3 linked regions of the Drosophila melanogaster genome follow. The protein of the gene in region 3 purifies or fractionates together with the protein of the main gene of each other region. This does not show direct contact. Each region holds a gene or a part of one and is shown on either strand. Other genes may lie near its edges.

Evidence for each region.
Region 1: the proteins of RabX1 (region 3) and CG32631 purify together in Drosophila melanogaster (affinity purification with mass spectrometry, with the first as the bait; one large-scale study listed by BioGRID). This does not show direct contact.
Region 2: the proteins of RabX1 (region 3) and CG5966 purify together in Drosophila melanogaster (affinity purification with mass spectrometry, with the first as the bait; one large-scale study listed by BioGRID). This does not show direct contact.

Annotation. Positions count from the first base shown.
Region 1 is NC_004354.4:13,554,929-13,558,388, reverse strand, and holds CG32631 (uncharacterized protein), read right to left. Parts: upstream 1,918-3,460; 5' UTR 1,841-1,917; coding exon 1,670-1,840; intron 1,564-1,669; coding exon 796-1,563; 3' UTR 523-795; downstream 1-522.
Region 2 is NC_004354.4:5,987,101-5,993,162, reverse strand, and holds CG5966 (uncharacterized protein), read right to left. Parts: upstream 4,373-6,062; 5' UTR 3,924-4,372; coding exon 3,806-3,923; exon of another isoform or gene 2,674-3,805; coding exon 1,778-2,673; intron 1,679-1,777; coding exon 1,070-1,678; 3' UTR 523-1,069; downstream 1-522.
Region 3 is NT_033778.4:23,519,305-23,525,430, forward strand, and holds RabX1 (RabX1), read right to left. Parts: upstream 4,310-6,126; 5' UTR 3,967-4,309; coding exon 3,924-3,966; intron 2,889-3,923; coding exon 2,755-2,888; intron 1,663-2,754; coding exon 1,054-1,662; 3' UTR 535-1,053; downstream 1-534. Other genes in the region: mi (minus), read left to right, coding at 5,046-5,108, 5,166-6,126.

The sequences.
Region 1 (3,460 bases), on a different chromosome or scaffold from region 3:
TAGGGATATGGCATTTTACAGCTTGATTTCCATTTGCCCATTGGCTCTTTGTTTGTTTGCTGGCCTCTTTCTCTGTGGGTTTTTCCATGACCAGCAGATTCAACTGGTGTCGGCTTGCTGCAACTAATAAACAAACAAAATTATAACTATTTATGCCATATATACAAACTTGAGCACTTAATAGTTATAAAATACAAAGACTTCTATATCCATTGTTAAAACTTTTATTCACGAATAATTATCAGTTGATACTGAAAAATGATAATAATAAGCGAACAATTATTGCTTAAATATTGCCTGAGTAAATATTTATTTATCTCTTTTCCAAGTGGCTTCAGTAATTAGGAAAGTTCCTTTTTTGGAAATTGGGCTAAGGGCTAAGAAACAACCTCCCCCCCGTTGCCACCTTGTTAACCCTTTAACAACATTTTCGGCAATAAAAACAAGTTTATTGCCGCACCCCCATGAATATTTGTCTTTGTAGCTAAACTTTTTGTCCCCAAGGAGCAATCGTCAGAAAATGTGTTTCATTGTAGTTTATTTCTTTCGCAGCTAGTTTGTAGTTGTTTAAGTTCAAAAAAAAAGTTGCGAATAAAAAAGGGATTAATGGAGTTTACGAAGAATTTCGGCGGCTTGGTTCAAATCGGGCACGCTTAACATATAAGCATAAATATGTTTAAATGCTTATTCAAATACATATGTTTAAGTGCATTTCATATAAAAAATGGCTAGTTAAGTATTAAGTATAGAAAAAAAAACTGTAGGTAAGTAAAGGGAAATCCCTTTGACCAATTTTTAGAACTGACCACTCAGCTCGTCGTCAAAATCGGAGGTGGGTGGCGTGTCCTTGACATCCGCCCGCACCGTGTACTCCTTCTCGTTGACACTGTAGTAGATGTTGAAGTACCTGCCCGACTGAATTCTCATGGCAAGGTAGCCACTCTGGCCGCGATCCTTGGCCGTCCGCTGGTAGATCACATGTCCGCTGCTCAGGATTACGCGCACCTCCTGCGAACCGTCCTCGTTCTTCCGCGCATTCTGCCGCATGATCTGCACCAGCTGCGTCCTCAGTGGATTGGAACTGGGCTTCAGGCCCGGCAGCTGAACGAGCGGCTCACAGCGGCAGTTGAGCTTCTGGGTGAGTGGGCATGTGGTCTGGGGATTGGGTGACGAGCCGAGCAGTTGGCCCGGCACCGCGGCCACCGGCGCCACTGCACCCAGTCCCAGGTTGCCCAGATTCAGGCCGCCCAGAGTGCCGAAGCCGCCGTTTAGCGAACCGAGTCCCAGGCCGTTGATCAAATTGGGCAGGCCACCCACCCAGGTTCCGATAAGTGGAAGATTCTGGCTAAACTGAGGCAGCCAGCCGGACTGCGGCTGCTGGCTCTGGGCATTCGAACTGGAGGCCACAGGAGTCACCACCGTAATCGGCTGCAATGGCTGCAGAGGCTGAAGTTGCTGCAGTGGCGGCAGTGGCTGCAGCGGGGGATTCACATTAAGGCCATCGAAGAAAACGGGATAGTTGCCGCTGGAACCAGCCAGGCTGCTCTGGCCACCATTGGCGGTCTGGGAATACGATTAAGAGGAAAGGTAAATGTTTAAAAATTGATTGATTTAACCTAAAATCTACACCTAAGTTTGCCACGACTAGTTTGCTTCAATAATCACTTACCAATTGGCGTTTGTCACGGCGTTCCAAGGACTCCATGGGATCGTCCTTTTCCATGGATTTTTCAGTGGAAGTGGGCATGGGTGTCCTTGTACTTGCTGTCGTTGTTGTGGCTAAAGCCAGTCCAATAGCAATGGCAGCCATAAAGATGGTAAAACTTAGAATGTTGGCCATGTTTGGTTGCTCAATTGTATTTTTTAAATATATATATTTTTTTGTATTTTGTAAGGATTGTTCTTTATCAGACTTCGCTTTCAGTCGCTTTGCTGTGGTGACCAGGCTCGCCACTTCTTATATATGATTTTTGTGGTCATATCGCGATATTAAATGATATTTTGGGCTGCAGTTAATTGAACCAGATTTGCCAAGAATCAAAATGGTTTTTAACAACCAACAAAAAAAAAACTGGCTTTGCCAGTACACAAAATGTGGGTCAGCATTTAATAACGGCCATATACTTATTTATATATTCCTGCAAAATTACAGCATCTTCATTTGAATGCTTATGGAACTTAAATTCAATAACCACACAATGGCCAACATACAATGCCACTGGTGGATCTGCAGGTGTCCATTAATTTTCCAAACCTGTGCAATTAATTTACCAAGCGAATTCAAACAAATTGCTTACCTTTACTCGGCCCATCTCCTCCATTGTTTGCCAATTTTACACAAATTAATTCCTCATACATTGCACACGCCTAAGCTAGAAATCTTTGCCCACAGATATACTTACTCAACAAATGGCACATCACTTGCATGGCCATCAAAAACTTCAAGAATTGGGCATTGCTCATGGATTTTAGAAGATATTGTATTTTGTATTTTTTGAAAATTCAAAAAAAAAAAGTCGCAATGAGGAAAATGTCATTAAATATGCCGGCACATAAAAATACACAGTAGCTATATAACTTTTTGACAAATTGCCTGGGGCTTGCCATGTCCAGCGGCCAAAATCAAATCAAATTAAATTTGTGCCAAAAAAACAGGAAGAAAAAGAAGAGGAAACGCAAAATGCGGCATGGCTGGCGGAAAATGTTTCGTTTGCATGGAAATTTCGTAGTAAGATTTTAAATTTTCCCGAAGGCAAGAGAGGGAAACTAAGAAAGAAGTGGAGTGAAATGAACAAGTTGCTTGACAGCCGCTTGCTGTTGCGGACTCATAAATCAAAAAGTTGCACATTAAAGACGCCTTTGGTTCAATTAAATAGAAATTGAATTAAATTACAAAGCTGCCTGCCCTTGAAAACGTGCAAAACATCGATGCAGAACCAGGATTATGAACGAAATAAGCGGCCAAAATGATTCAAAGTGTTAACCGGTTTGTCGAGCAACAAGCCCTAAAAATAATACTTTAAAACGTTGAAAACGCTTTTATGACACAAAGGTTACGAAGACAAAGAAGTCCAGGTAAAAAATTAAAAAGAAAAAAAAAAACATAGTTAAACATATTAAAATATCACTTCAAGCAGTGCAAGTAACATTTGAATTTTAATTATGTTAATGAAACACATGTTCTAAATAAAAACACAGACGGTAACTGAACCAATGAACTTCGATCACCCCTGGAACAAACAAACTCCGAACCAAATACCCTTTAGCACATTTACGAGCTTACACACAATGTGGCGATTATAAAGATTTTTACAATCCTGCATCTGAGCTCCCCCTCTCACCCCCCCTCCCCCATCATTCATTCAGTACATATGCTTATTTACTGATTTTCATCATTTTTCGGTTTTAAATGATTATATAGTGATGCATTTTAACCCTTGGCTGCTGAACGGGGTGATAA
Region 2 (6,062 bases), on a different chromosome or scaffold from region 3:
ATAAAACAAAGAGCCGGCCGCAGAAACAGAAACTTAAACTGAAACTCAAACGAAAACAAAACAGAAACGAAAACCAAAACCGAAATCGAGACAGCAGCGAACGAAGTTGAAAACGAGTCGAATCAATGCAGATAATATCAATTATATGTAAAAGATACACATGCATGCGATAGATACATTTGCCCCGATAAGCATTTAAAATATTAACATCAACACAGACTGGGTATCCATGTCATGGAATGTTCCCCGTCTCCACAGTTTCGTGTTTGTGTTTATAATTCATTAGAATCCACAGCTGATTTGAGTTATGGCAGGCAGATCCACAACTGGGGGCTTGTCGTGTTGTCTTTAACCTTTTTATCACAATTATCTAACTTCAGGTTACCTATAAGTCGCGCTTTCGGCGCAAGAAATGGGTCTTCATTTGAATAACCAAGATTTAAATCACATCGGATTTACTTCTGAAAATTAAGCTTTGCTTGTGCAATTATATATGTATACAATATAAACACAGAAACCTTTGTATATTTGCATGTTTATTTACATTAAATTAGACTACATCAGTGCACTACGACTACAAATACATTTAACTCAAAAAAAAAAATATATTGTATATGAAACATATTATTTTATAAAATAAATAACGGTTTGATGATTGTTTCGTATTTCGAACTATTAAAATACTATAATAAAATACAAACTGTTCCTTCTCAGCGAGTTGCTATAAAAGTCAAACTGGGAACACTTTTTCGATCTGTTCCCACAGCGCAGACACGCATCTGCATCTGTGCCACTTCTGGTTGTGCAAACAACTTAGCGGTGACGCAAACCTGCACTGCTTTCTTTGATTTTCTACGCAATCATATTGGGTGCTGAGAAAGTGTGAGCTGAGTTCTTAATTAATTAGCCAATTAATCATTAGACATGAGCAAAATTACAAATTAATTAGCTAATTAAGTAATGATATAGCTTACATACAGTTCCGAATTTAGTGGATAATTAATCAATTAATTGAAATGATAATATTATCATCAATTAGCCAATAAATTATCAAGTAAACAGGTTGATATTAATCCTTGCAATAGCTGGAGCGCAGGACATTTTCAGCGCCCGTGAGAATGGCTCCTTCGTGCTGAGGACATAACTTTAGGTATAGGTCGCTGGACTCCATCGCCTCGATGAGGATGTACTCCAAGTAGATACGCGGCGCGGATAGGATGCGCCATGTGAGTGGATTCAGTATATTGGTGGGGTACTCCCAATTAACAGTCGCGTACTCCGGCTCTCGGAGATTCCGTCCGGCCACCAAAGCTTTGTATTCATAGCCCGGCTCAAAGTACATTGCCTTCTGGGAGAACTTCATCATCTCCGTGGCGGCTCGCTCATTTTTGCCAGCCTTCTTCACCAGGGCATCGTGCAGCTGAATGGACAGGATGCCCACCTCGCCGCCATGTAGCGTACTCTCATCGTGTCCGGAAACTCGCACTGTTATCCTATAGTGCAGTCGGCAGAAGGGCTTGCTATCTCCAGTCCATAGGTAGAAGACCCCTGGTGAGTCGCCTTGCTGCAGCTGGCCAAGATCAACCTGCTCCTGGTAATCCTCCTGGCTGTGGTAGCCCATTCGCAGGCACGTGTGGCCCGGCTCCTCGCAACTGGTGCACTTCGTGTCCTTAAAGCTCTAAAAAGGAAGAAACAATATTACATATTTTAAGTTTGAATATTCAAAAAATCAATCAAAGAGCAATTGATTAGCAATAAAAATGCCTAGGATACCCACCTCGAAAGAATCACAGGTTATTCCAAGGAAAGGACACTGCGAGCCGATGCTTTCCGTAAAATACTGCTGACTGCGAATGTGATTGCAGCCGAGGAACTCCTGCATGGTGAGGAACAGCGTCTTCTTCTTGACCACATCCTGGAACTTCTTGTTGCAGCCGGGATTATCGAAACCACCGTTGGGAAAGAAGTCCACATGTCCCAGTCGCATATTGATGCCAAGCCCGCCTTTCATCAGGGGATTGGCATCCGTGTGCACAATGTCCACGAAGTGGGCATCCGTCTTGTCCAGCCGCACGATGGGATCGGTGTCCGTGAAGAGAGGAGCAGCCGGATCCAGACCCGTTATCCTGGCCGGTTTCAGTCCAAAGTCGTGCTGCAGGTGATAGCCGGCATAGCCGGACAGATGGGCACCCAGTGAGTGACCAATGATGTGCACATTGTCCAGATTCGGAAGACGCAACTCCTCGTACAGCATGTGCACCACATGGGCGGTGATGGCGCCCACTAGCCGGATATTGGCAACCGCCTGGACATACGGCGGACTAGCGCCACCGCCCCAATCGATGAGGACCACGGATGCCCGACCCTCGGGCTCGTGGGCCAGCAGCGCCTTGGCCATGTCCCACATCCAGGGAATTTCACCGGACTCCAGGTATCCATGGACAAGCAGGAATATCTTGCCCTTGGGATTCATTCCCATGCCTTGAACGCTTTCTGGATCATTGAGATCCAGATACTTGGGCTGATCCAATGCCCTTCGCGTGTGCAGTGTGAAATGGGGCTCGATCTCCGAAGGCTTCTGCGGATGCACATTTATCGAACGGGTCACCGTGTTCCAGGGTCCATTGATCGGAAAACAGCCATACACTCCGAAGCATTTTACCTCGTTGATGTCTGGCGAGGATTGGGGAAAATCAGTGGGTTTGTTGTGGTATGTTTGGTCTATAAATCAACAGGCGAACACCTGAACTGAGATAAGCGGGTTGGAATTTTAGCAACAAATAACCAACTATCACTAGTTTTATATATAGTTATAATTCAAAACCACTGAGGCTAAAATCTTGAAAATAATCTACTCGGGCAATTTGAATCCATGAAACTATAATAGGCATTATAAAACCATTAATCTGAACGTAACTGCCTTCTTTTAATATTCCTTTAAACTTTTGCAAAATCTCAATTAGAACTGTTGTGGTCTGGTAAAAAGCCTAACGATCCATGAAAAAACCTTAGACAATTTTCAAGATGTCAGATGCCTGTAATGTTCCATTAAGTATTTCATATGGGCCAGAAGACTTCAATTTATTTGGCCAGTGGTGCATGGATTGCCGTCTCTATTTTATCGTGGTCTTCTTTGGCTTTCCGTTTGTATCGGAAGTTTTCGATTAGATAGGCGTGTGCCGCGTCCCTCCAACAACTGAATACATATTATATATCTACATATATGTACGCACGATATGTACATATATGAAACCGCACCGGACGGAGTCGCGTCATTAGCCTTTTGGGACCCTGATTTCCAAATCAAATTGAAGCACGCCGAGTTGCCACCTGTGCCTCCATCACTCAGGTGATCGCAATCGCTGCGGGCTTCTTGAAAGAGCTTTCCCCATTTGCTAATGCGAGCAGCACTCAGCATCTTTGGATTTCGAAGCACTAAAGATCCGAAAACTGTTTGCTCAGCACACTCAGCAAAAGAAACCACTTAAGGTTGCCCCTAACTGGGCCCAAATGACACAGCTGCGGCCAAGATAATAGCTCCAATTACTCTACTCTCTTACTCTATAAAGTGGGGATATCTTGTATTTATTCTAATCTTTAACTTATTATTGAATAATAGTTCTACATATTTGTAAAAATTTCATTTCATTGAAACACTAGAAATCCCTTAGCTACTCCTATTTCGACCGCCACTGTGGCTCAAGTGGCAGATACTTTTGGGCCACTTTCGATGGACATGTTCTAGTTACGATGGGTGGTGCAATCGGTGGTAGCCAAAAGTGGGCTCGTGGCTCGAATTACTTACCACTTTTGGGAGCTGGTGGTAGGTCCACCAGGGTGTTGACTGCCGCCCGACTGGTGTGGTTGGCCAAATACAACATGGTCTGCAGCATTAGGCCGCCCGTCGTGTTGGCCACATACATCCTGCAGCTGTATCTGATTCCGATTCCGATTCCGATGCCAAATGTGATCCCTTAGATCCTGGGGATCTTGGAAATTCCCAACTTGAATCACACACTTTTTCCCAGGGCTTTAGTCAGTTCTTAACTGAACCACAATCACAAATCACTTGAACGAGTGCCACTCGAGTTGGCTATTATCTAAGGCTAGGACTGTATAGTCGAGTTACGATGGGATCGATCGATTGATCGATCGGCCTTTTGTTTGGTGCCTGGCTTTTCTTTTCTATAGTTTTAATTAAGTTGACGTTAATCTTATCGACTGTCTTTCGTCTCGAGTGTGCCGTTAGCTTGTTAGGTTAGTTGGCGGCCCTCGGTTTCTTTCGATTTTGACTATCGCCAATGACTGGGCTATATGTCGTGTATATCTCCGCCGATCTGAGTCGCTTGGAAACCGTCGCACCACTGAGCGGATCAGCTGCGCCCCACGCAATTTTTATAAAGACGTAGACGTCGCGAGAAATCGAAACCGTAACCGAAATCAGAAAGCTGCATCCGAAGCTGCAGCCGAAGCCGCCGATCGAAGATAGTGCTGACCGATCCGCCGATTTCCCGACATATACATATGCGTACAATACGTCTACCACTTCAAAGGTCAAGTGTAATAAACAGTTGGTGGAAGCCGAATATCTCGTGGAAATTACCATGAAGGCTATTCAGAAAAAAAACATACTTTAAATCTATAACCCGTTCAAGTATCACTATATATACCATTAAATGTTGATAACTACGCTCCTTTTACAGATATTATTTCTATGGAAGTTATGTCGTATTTTCGCTAGACAGCCAACACTGACCAATGAGCTTCGGCACGCGACTTACAGCAGAGAGTGTGAAAGAGAGAGAGGAAAGCAAGAGGCCCTGAGCAGCTGATAGTGCACAAGTCGAGCGTTTCGCTCAGTGTAGATGCAAAGTACACCAGCTGCTCTTTGTTGGATGCACCTTCTTGATAAGGAAGCCGATCCGCTCTGCCGACGACAACAAAGTGACCGCCATGAATGCGTTGAGCAATCTCTTACAGGAAGAGGGCGGCACAAGGGAGGATCTTATGATGGGTCAGAAATAGAGGATGGGGAACAGCCCCCTTGGGCAATCAGCAGCTGTTCTCGACAACCCATTCGGCACGGCGAGAAAAAATATACTTATTTGTATAAACTACCCATAACGATCCTAACGATTTGAACCATGTTTTTAAGGATATTCCATTATTATTGGCAATATATATCTTTAAATTTTAAAAGATTGTTATTTTAGCTTACTTTAAAAGTAGTTATATATCTAAAGATCAATATATTTGTAGAATATCTTTAAGCATGACGAACCTAGTTTTTTGCTAGCTTATTAATAGAAGAAAATTGTTTTGTGTGTAACATGCCAAGTGAATTTCTATGAAAACTGTGTCAATCGACGGGCCCCTGCCACGCCCTTGTCCCTCAGCCCACCGCCACTGACAGGTGGTGGTGTCAATGTCTGGTTAGCACTAAATATATTTGCATATGTATATTATGTTCCCCATTGGCACACGTTATCAGCGGCCAGTAATTTTCGCAGAATCCCGCCGTTTCGCTTTCGAGGCGTCCAAAGTCCGGAGAAGGTGTTTACGAGTCGGGTTTTCGATCGCTTGACACTCCACCAGGATCTCGAATATTGCCCATTGACGTCAAAGAGGCGGCCTTTCAAAAGCGTTATCACGACCTAAAGTCTGTCTGCTTTATTCTTGTTTTTGTTTACGACTTTTCTCGAAAACACAACAGAATACCCTGGAAAAATGCGAAGCTTTTAATACGATCTATACTTAGATATGTCTCTGACTCAGAGGGTATTACTTCCGTAAAGATTCAGCAGCTATTGCCCCGATTTCCGATAAGCATCGAACTTTGATTTCGAAAATTGATTCCGGTTCAAAAATCCACATGCATTGCAAATCAACACTGGTGTCTATTTGTTTTGATATTTTCCCATCGACGGGTCCAACGTCACAGCCACGCCCACTTGTTCCTAGCAAGTGTAAAAACATTTTGTTTACAACAATTATTACATGTGGCGTATAGATTACACCGAAAGGCTAATTGAAAACGGAACACACAGTGCAGAATATGAAGA
Region 3 (6,126 bases):
AGCGTGGGTGGCGTGTATTGATTTTATATCAATTAGTCTGTCATACGATTCGAATGTTCGCATACTGGTATTTTATTTTAGAAAAGCCACTCCTTGCTAAATCTCTTAATATATTAGATTACATTTTTGTTTGTGCATTCCCAGGTCGAGAGTCCAAACAAATCATTTCATAATTAAACTCCTCCTGAAACAGCTCTCCATGAAGTTAGAAATTACTAACGAATTTGGCGGGAATACTAGTAGCTCCCCAAAATCCAAAACGCACGTTCATCCAAGAGCCCCCAAGTGGCGCACAAGGGTTGATAAAAATAGCAGGTCACGCTTCTGGGGGGCAAACTTAATGCGAAGGCATTAGGAGCCGGTGGAGCCAATACAATTGTAACCCTTGGCATTGTTATGGGGGCATTAAATTCCAATTACACGTTAAGATGCCGCGTTAATGGCCAAGTTAATGCACTTGCACTGCCGTTGGCCCGTTGATTCGCCACTGGGGGGGCGTTGATTTCGCCCCCGAAATGACAAAGCAGCCGAAATACATTATTACATTTACATTTATTATAGGCATGCAGTATAAAATGCTTTGTACATGAATTGGTGTTTGTGTTAATGTCTTGTGGGTGAGTGTTTCGTGAGTGTTTTGTGAGTGTTTCGTGAGTGCTGCTCCCTGTGTGTTGTGGGTTAATCTTATGATTGGTAAGTCAGATGGGCTTAGAGCGAAACGAGTGTATAAAGTCATAATATGCACGCGGCAATTGCTGTACACAGCTGTCATTAAGAACTAAGATTATGATGAAGCGGTTGTCGCAGCGCCTTGTCAGTGGATCGAGGGGATCCTGGATCTAGCCTAATCAGTGATCTAATACATAGCTTCAAGCCAAGTTTGCATCTTGCGTTTGCGGCGGCTGCTTTTGGTCTTTGCGTTTTCGGAGTTGGGTTGCTTGATTGCTTAAACGATGCTGGCTGGCCCTTGAGCCCATATTCGAACTGCAGTCTGGTTCTGTTAAAATCACATTGGTTCTTTCACAGATGTGGATCCTGGGGATCTGATAGATCTTAGTAGCAACACCAGCTGGGCCTCTCCACCTCGCCGAGGGCGATGTGCTCGATGCTCCACGGCGCCGTTTCCAGCCGCCCCACGCCATTGGTCTTCACGTCCTCGCCCTCCACCGCCAAGCCAATGTCCACGTAGGGCAGACGGAACGCTGCATTTCCGGAGCTCCTGGCCAGGGCGGCCACCGTGTGACTGAAGGCAGTGTTGGTGTTGGTGTAGGCCAGCGAATCAGTCGACTGGAAGGAGCGCAGCGACGGACTCTTGCCCTCGTCTGCCAGGCGAACCAGTCCCTGGGCAGTGGATATGAACACTTGCTCCAGTCCCTGATCCGTTTCGGTGGAGGTTTCGAAGTAGGTGGCCCCAATGGAGGTGGCGAACACGAAGGCCTCCTCCCGGGAGACCGCTCGCTGCGCCTGCATGTCCATCTTGTTACCCACCAGCGTCAGTATCATCGGGTCCTGGACATTGCGGTGCAGCTCCTGAATCCACGACTTGATCTCCGTGAATGTCTTGTACTGCGTTAGATCGAACACCAGAATGGCGGCGTTGGCATTCCTGTAGTACATGGGCGCCACCGCCCGATACCGCTCCTGGCCAGCTGTATCCCAGATCTACGAGGAGAGAGAGAGAGTGAGTAAGCACTGGTTAGAGTTCGTACGCCACTTGAATTTAATTGAGTCATTGCCCGCTTATTCTGCAATTGCCGTTTTATTGTCGCGTTTTCCCACAGCAATAACAATCATATTGGATGTGAAATCCCTGCTTTGGGTCTTTTCAAGGGGCTCCTCTTTATGCGAATCATAAGCATTTTGGGGCAACGACATGTTCATTGGCGAAACTAAATCGAAGCACACAAAAGCTTACCAAAGAAACAAAGAGCCCCGCAAGCGAATCTAACAAGCGGAATACGAAAACTATATCCTATTATGTATTCATACTTATTGTGCGCCGGCGACTGCTTCTGCTGGTCAACTGGGGTCAACCGGGGGAAAAACAAATCTGACCTGTTTCTTTCAACATTCTGAGCAAGCACTTCGTCCAAGAAAAAGTATTGCTTTGCTGAAACGCTATGTGATTGGATTAAAGAGCTTGAATTCTATTCTACTAAAAAGTTTCAAACTTTCTCAGTTTAAAGCCTATCCACCTAGCTGCCTGTGCATCCATGTTAGAGAAAAAACAGTTTGGCGTTGAGAGTAAACGTATGGCCATTGTAGTGGCCATTGTTATATGGCTGCGCATAAAATCGGGATCACCGAAGAGTAAATACGGCAGCCAGGGCCAAGTGGGTGGTAACCCTTTGGCAATGGGCGAAGCTGGTGCTGCTGCTGCTCCTGCTACTACTGCCGCTCCCGTTTAGCTTATCAATAAACTATAAAAAAAAAGGAACGAGCTAACAAAAAAGAGAATAACACAAAGTGCAGCGGACGCACAAATTGCAAACAAAAAAGGACAAATAAAGTGACCAAAACAGTGGGCGGCGGAGACGGCGGACGAGAAGTACCCGCGGCGCAGCCAGTGGCAGAATAAACCCAGATTAGCGTTCCGGCAGCCCAGCCGGCAAATAGGATTAGTGGGCGCGTGGGGCAGTGGCAAATTCCTTTGGCTTTGCCTTTGGCTTCGGCTTTTTTACGAGGCAATTCCATTTGCGTTCGCCCCAAAAGAGTTGGTCGCACTGATACATATTCTGGCTGCTGTATACGCACTTGCAATTTAATTTTGACCTCGTCCAGGATGATGTTGCACGTGAAGAAGGACACGGCTATCGTGGGTACCTCGCTTTCCTTGCGGTGCAGCGTGTTCTTTATGTAGCGGATGACCAAACGTGTTTTGCCCACACCTGCAAGACAAGAACACAAATTATGCAATTAATCGAGAGATACAGCATTGTCTTTCTGTGTACCCGTGAGCCCTATTTCGCTTCAAGCATAATGCCGTGCAGCTTATCAGTGAACGTGGAATGGCGCACGCATTAATTGACCGCTGATTAATCACGCAAATTGAGCCGAATAAACAAAACAAAAACTGGAGACGCACTAGCCCGCAAAAGGTGGTAAACAGCGATAAGGAATCGCCTACCGACCACGAGATTCTTTGTTCGGCGCCCACTTTTTTGTGGCTCAGAGAAGCCCCTCTGTGTTTGATCAGACGGGGAATCTCCGCGTGGAGCTGCAGTATGTGCATGCACTGAATCATCCGGCGATTATGGGAAGAACGTATATTCCGAGGAAAGTACCGCCTTTTTTTTATCAATGCGTCCCTTTGTTTGGCGAAAAAGCAGAGCAAATACTGCACCCGCTGTGCATATAAGCCCCCTTAGTTGACCTTGGGCCAAACTTAAATACATATACTCATTGCGAATTCGTCAGCCGATTACGCTGCAAAAAATGTCCACTTTGTTGTGTAGAAGAGGGTAGACGGTGGAGGCTTCCCCCTTGATATGTTTTTGGAGTACAAATGTAGAAATGAACAATTTTAAGTTTCGGAGTTGTGCACTACGGAAGCCATCAAATTTGGCCCATTAACACAGATTTCTTATCGTAAATCCAAATCCCAAGGGCAACGTCATCTTGATGTGATGACATCGTGTGTGGTTAAATTCATCGGCTAGTTCAGCCTAATCCCAACCAGACACGCTGTCTTTGCCAGACTCTCTTCTGCATCTACCTAAATCCAGATTGCAGCATGCAGCCTGCAGATTCCCAATTGGGGCCAGTGGAGTTCAAGGCTACGGCTTATCGGCTCACCCCGGTTGTTAATCTTATCACTGGGCAATTGATGGAATTACTGTCATTATGCGGATCATTGAGACTTCTGAATGGAGTCCGCCGAATGGCCATTGAAATCGGAAACGGGTGGAAACGTGTGTGCTTACCTCGCGAGCCCAGAACAAGCACTTTGCCCTCGATTCCGCGCATCTCGCCGAGATTAGCGGCTCAATCGCATCGCTTTCCGTGGACTTTAGTGACGTTTTTTTTTTTTGTAAAATGGATGAGATGATGTGTTGTTGGCTCAGTGGTTGTTGCTGCTGTTGTTGTTGTTGCTTGCAGAGCCAGTGGTTGGGAAGCGCGTAATTGGCCCTTTGGCGGCCTGCTGCGTCTGATTTCTTGGGCACAACTGAATTTATCGGAGTCGGTGGGGGTTTTCAAAGCGGGCGCTGCGATTAAAAGCGCGCAGTCAGCAGTAAAGATAAAAGATTTAATAAATTTGAAGGCTTGTTGTTATTGTGTTATGTTATGCGCGAACAGCTGTTTACCAGGGCTGACACGAGGTGCGATAGTTGCTGCTGGCAGCGATAGCTGGTCTTGCAGAGTAGAATTTCGCAAGGAAATAACTTTGTTTCACAAGTAAATATATTCGTAAAAAATATATTTATGTGTTAGTTTGATTGGTTAGCAAGGATTCCAATCAGGAATATGACTACTAGAAAAATCACGACCCCGATTACCGCTTGGAAGATGCCACCCGATAGCAAAACTATCGCCCATCACTAATTGCATTTCCCAGACGCGTTAGTACCACCGCCAAAAGCAGGCAGATGTTCATACAGGCGATTTTAACAACAGTGTTTTATAGATAAATTAACAAATTAAAGGTATTTTAAGGAGCTAGACAACATGCATTAGGAGCTACAAGCTCGCGGGCACAACTGGATACTAGCGATAGGCGTGCAGCGTGCGACTCGAGCGCGTTAAATGTCCGCAAAAGTCAGACTTCTACGCGCGTTTTTCGCTTGGGTAACTTAGTTTTCCCCGACCTGGGAAAAGTGCCACATTTCCAAAAGGTAAATGCACTGCCAAGAAGATTAATGCGGCTAAGATAAGAAAATCGTCAGTGACTCCCCGTGCTTACTTTCACTTTTCTCTGCCCCGTCAATCTAGCCATTCGTCAGGCTCCACAAACTGGAGCAGCCTGTACAAAATGCCGCGTGCCTAAAATAACTTCGGGCTATAGAAGAAGCTATAACTACAACGAGAAATCTATTTTTATTCGAAGAATGGCCACTATTGGAAACAAGATAAACAACAGCTACGAATCGGAGCCTTCTACAGGAAGCGGGGTAAGACTAATTGGTGTCCTTGCGGTTGCGAGCTTGCTGAAACTTTGTGTTTTATAGTCTTCGCTCAGTGAAAACAATGAGAGCCACATATCTGACGAGGATCACATGAACTTACCGTATCTGATGAAACCGAAAGCACTGAGCAGCCAGCCCATCAAGGAAACCCCAACGCCACCCAATCCGAAGACGGGCAGCCAGGAATCGCAGTTCCTGGGCTTCGGAGACAGCCCATATGGCCAGGTGAACAAGCGTCTGTATGGCTCCCAGCTGCAGAACCTTAAGCTGCCGGAGGTGGAGCCCCCTGCCGTCCGACGTCCCTCGCCGGGCAAGATTGTCTTTCCCCGGTTCTACGACACCCTCATCGAGGAGAACAGCTGCAATGCCGTGGACATGGCCGTGTCAGTGGCCACGACAGCCACCACGACAACGGGCAGCCTCTCCTTCGATGGCAAAATCAAGAGCCTGACCGCAAAGCCCGAAATTCAGGACAAGCCTGGGCCCTCCAATGCTACGAATCCACGTCTGTCAAACGTGCTAGAAACCTCGCTCAACACCTCGCAGCAGAAGTTCAACAACGAACGCTCACCTGATCTCTTTGCCGACAGCGACGATGAAGCTGACAACGACGAGCAACCGGAAAAAGAGCCGCCCACCAGGCTGGAGGATCTGCCCGAAGTGTTGGAAGAGTCGCAGTGCACCAGCGACGCACGAGCTCGCTCCTCGCTGAATGCTCCCACGGAGTCCAGTTTTGTGGATGAGCAGACGATGGACCTTTCGAGCACCCAGCTGAACGCCAACGACCCCCGGTCGCACTTCTTGGAGAACTGCAGGAGAGAACGGGAGCTGTATCGGCGGATTCGTCGCTGCCTACAGGGAGTTCGTCCGCCGCCCTCGGTGACTGCACCCGATGTGGACGTCATCAAAATGGTGCTTAGCATGAAATCAAACGTGCTAAACTTTCTCTCCAAGGATAGCCCACCATCTACACCCAGAATCGAGGACAGTGGCATTAGCGAAA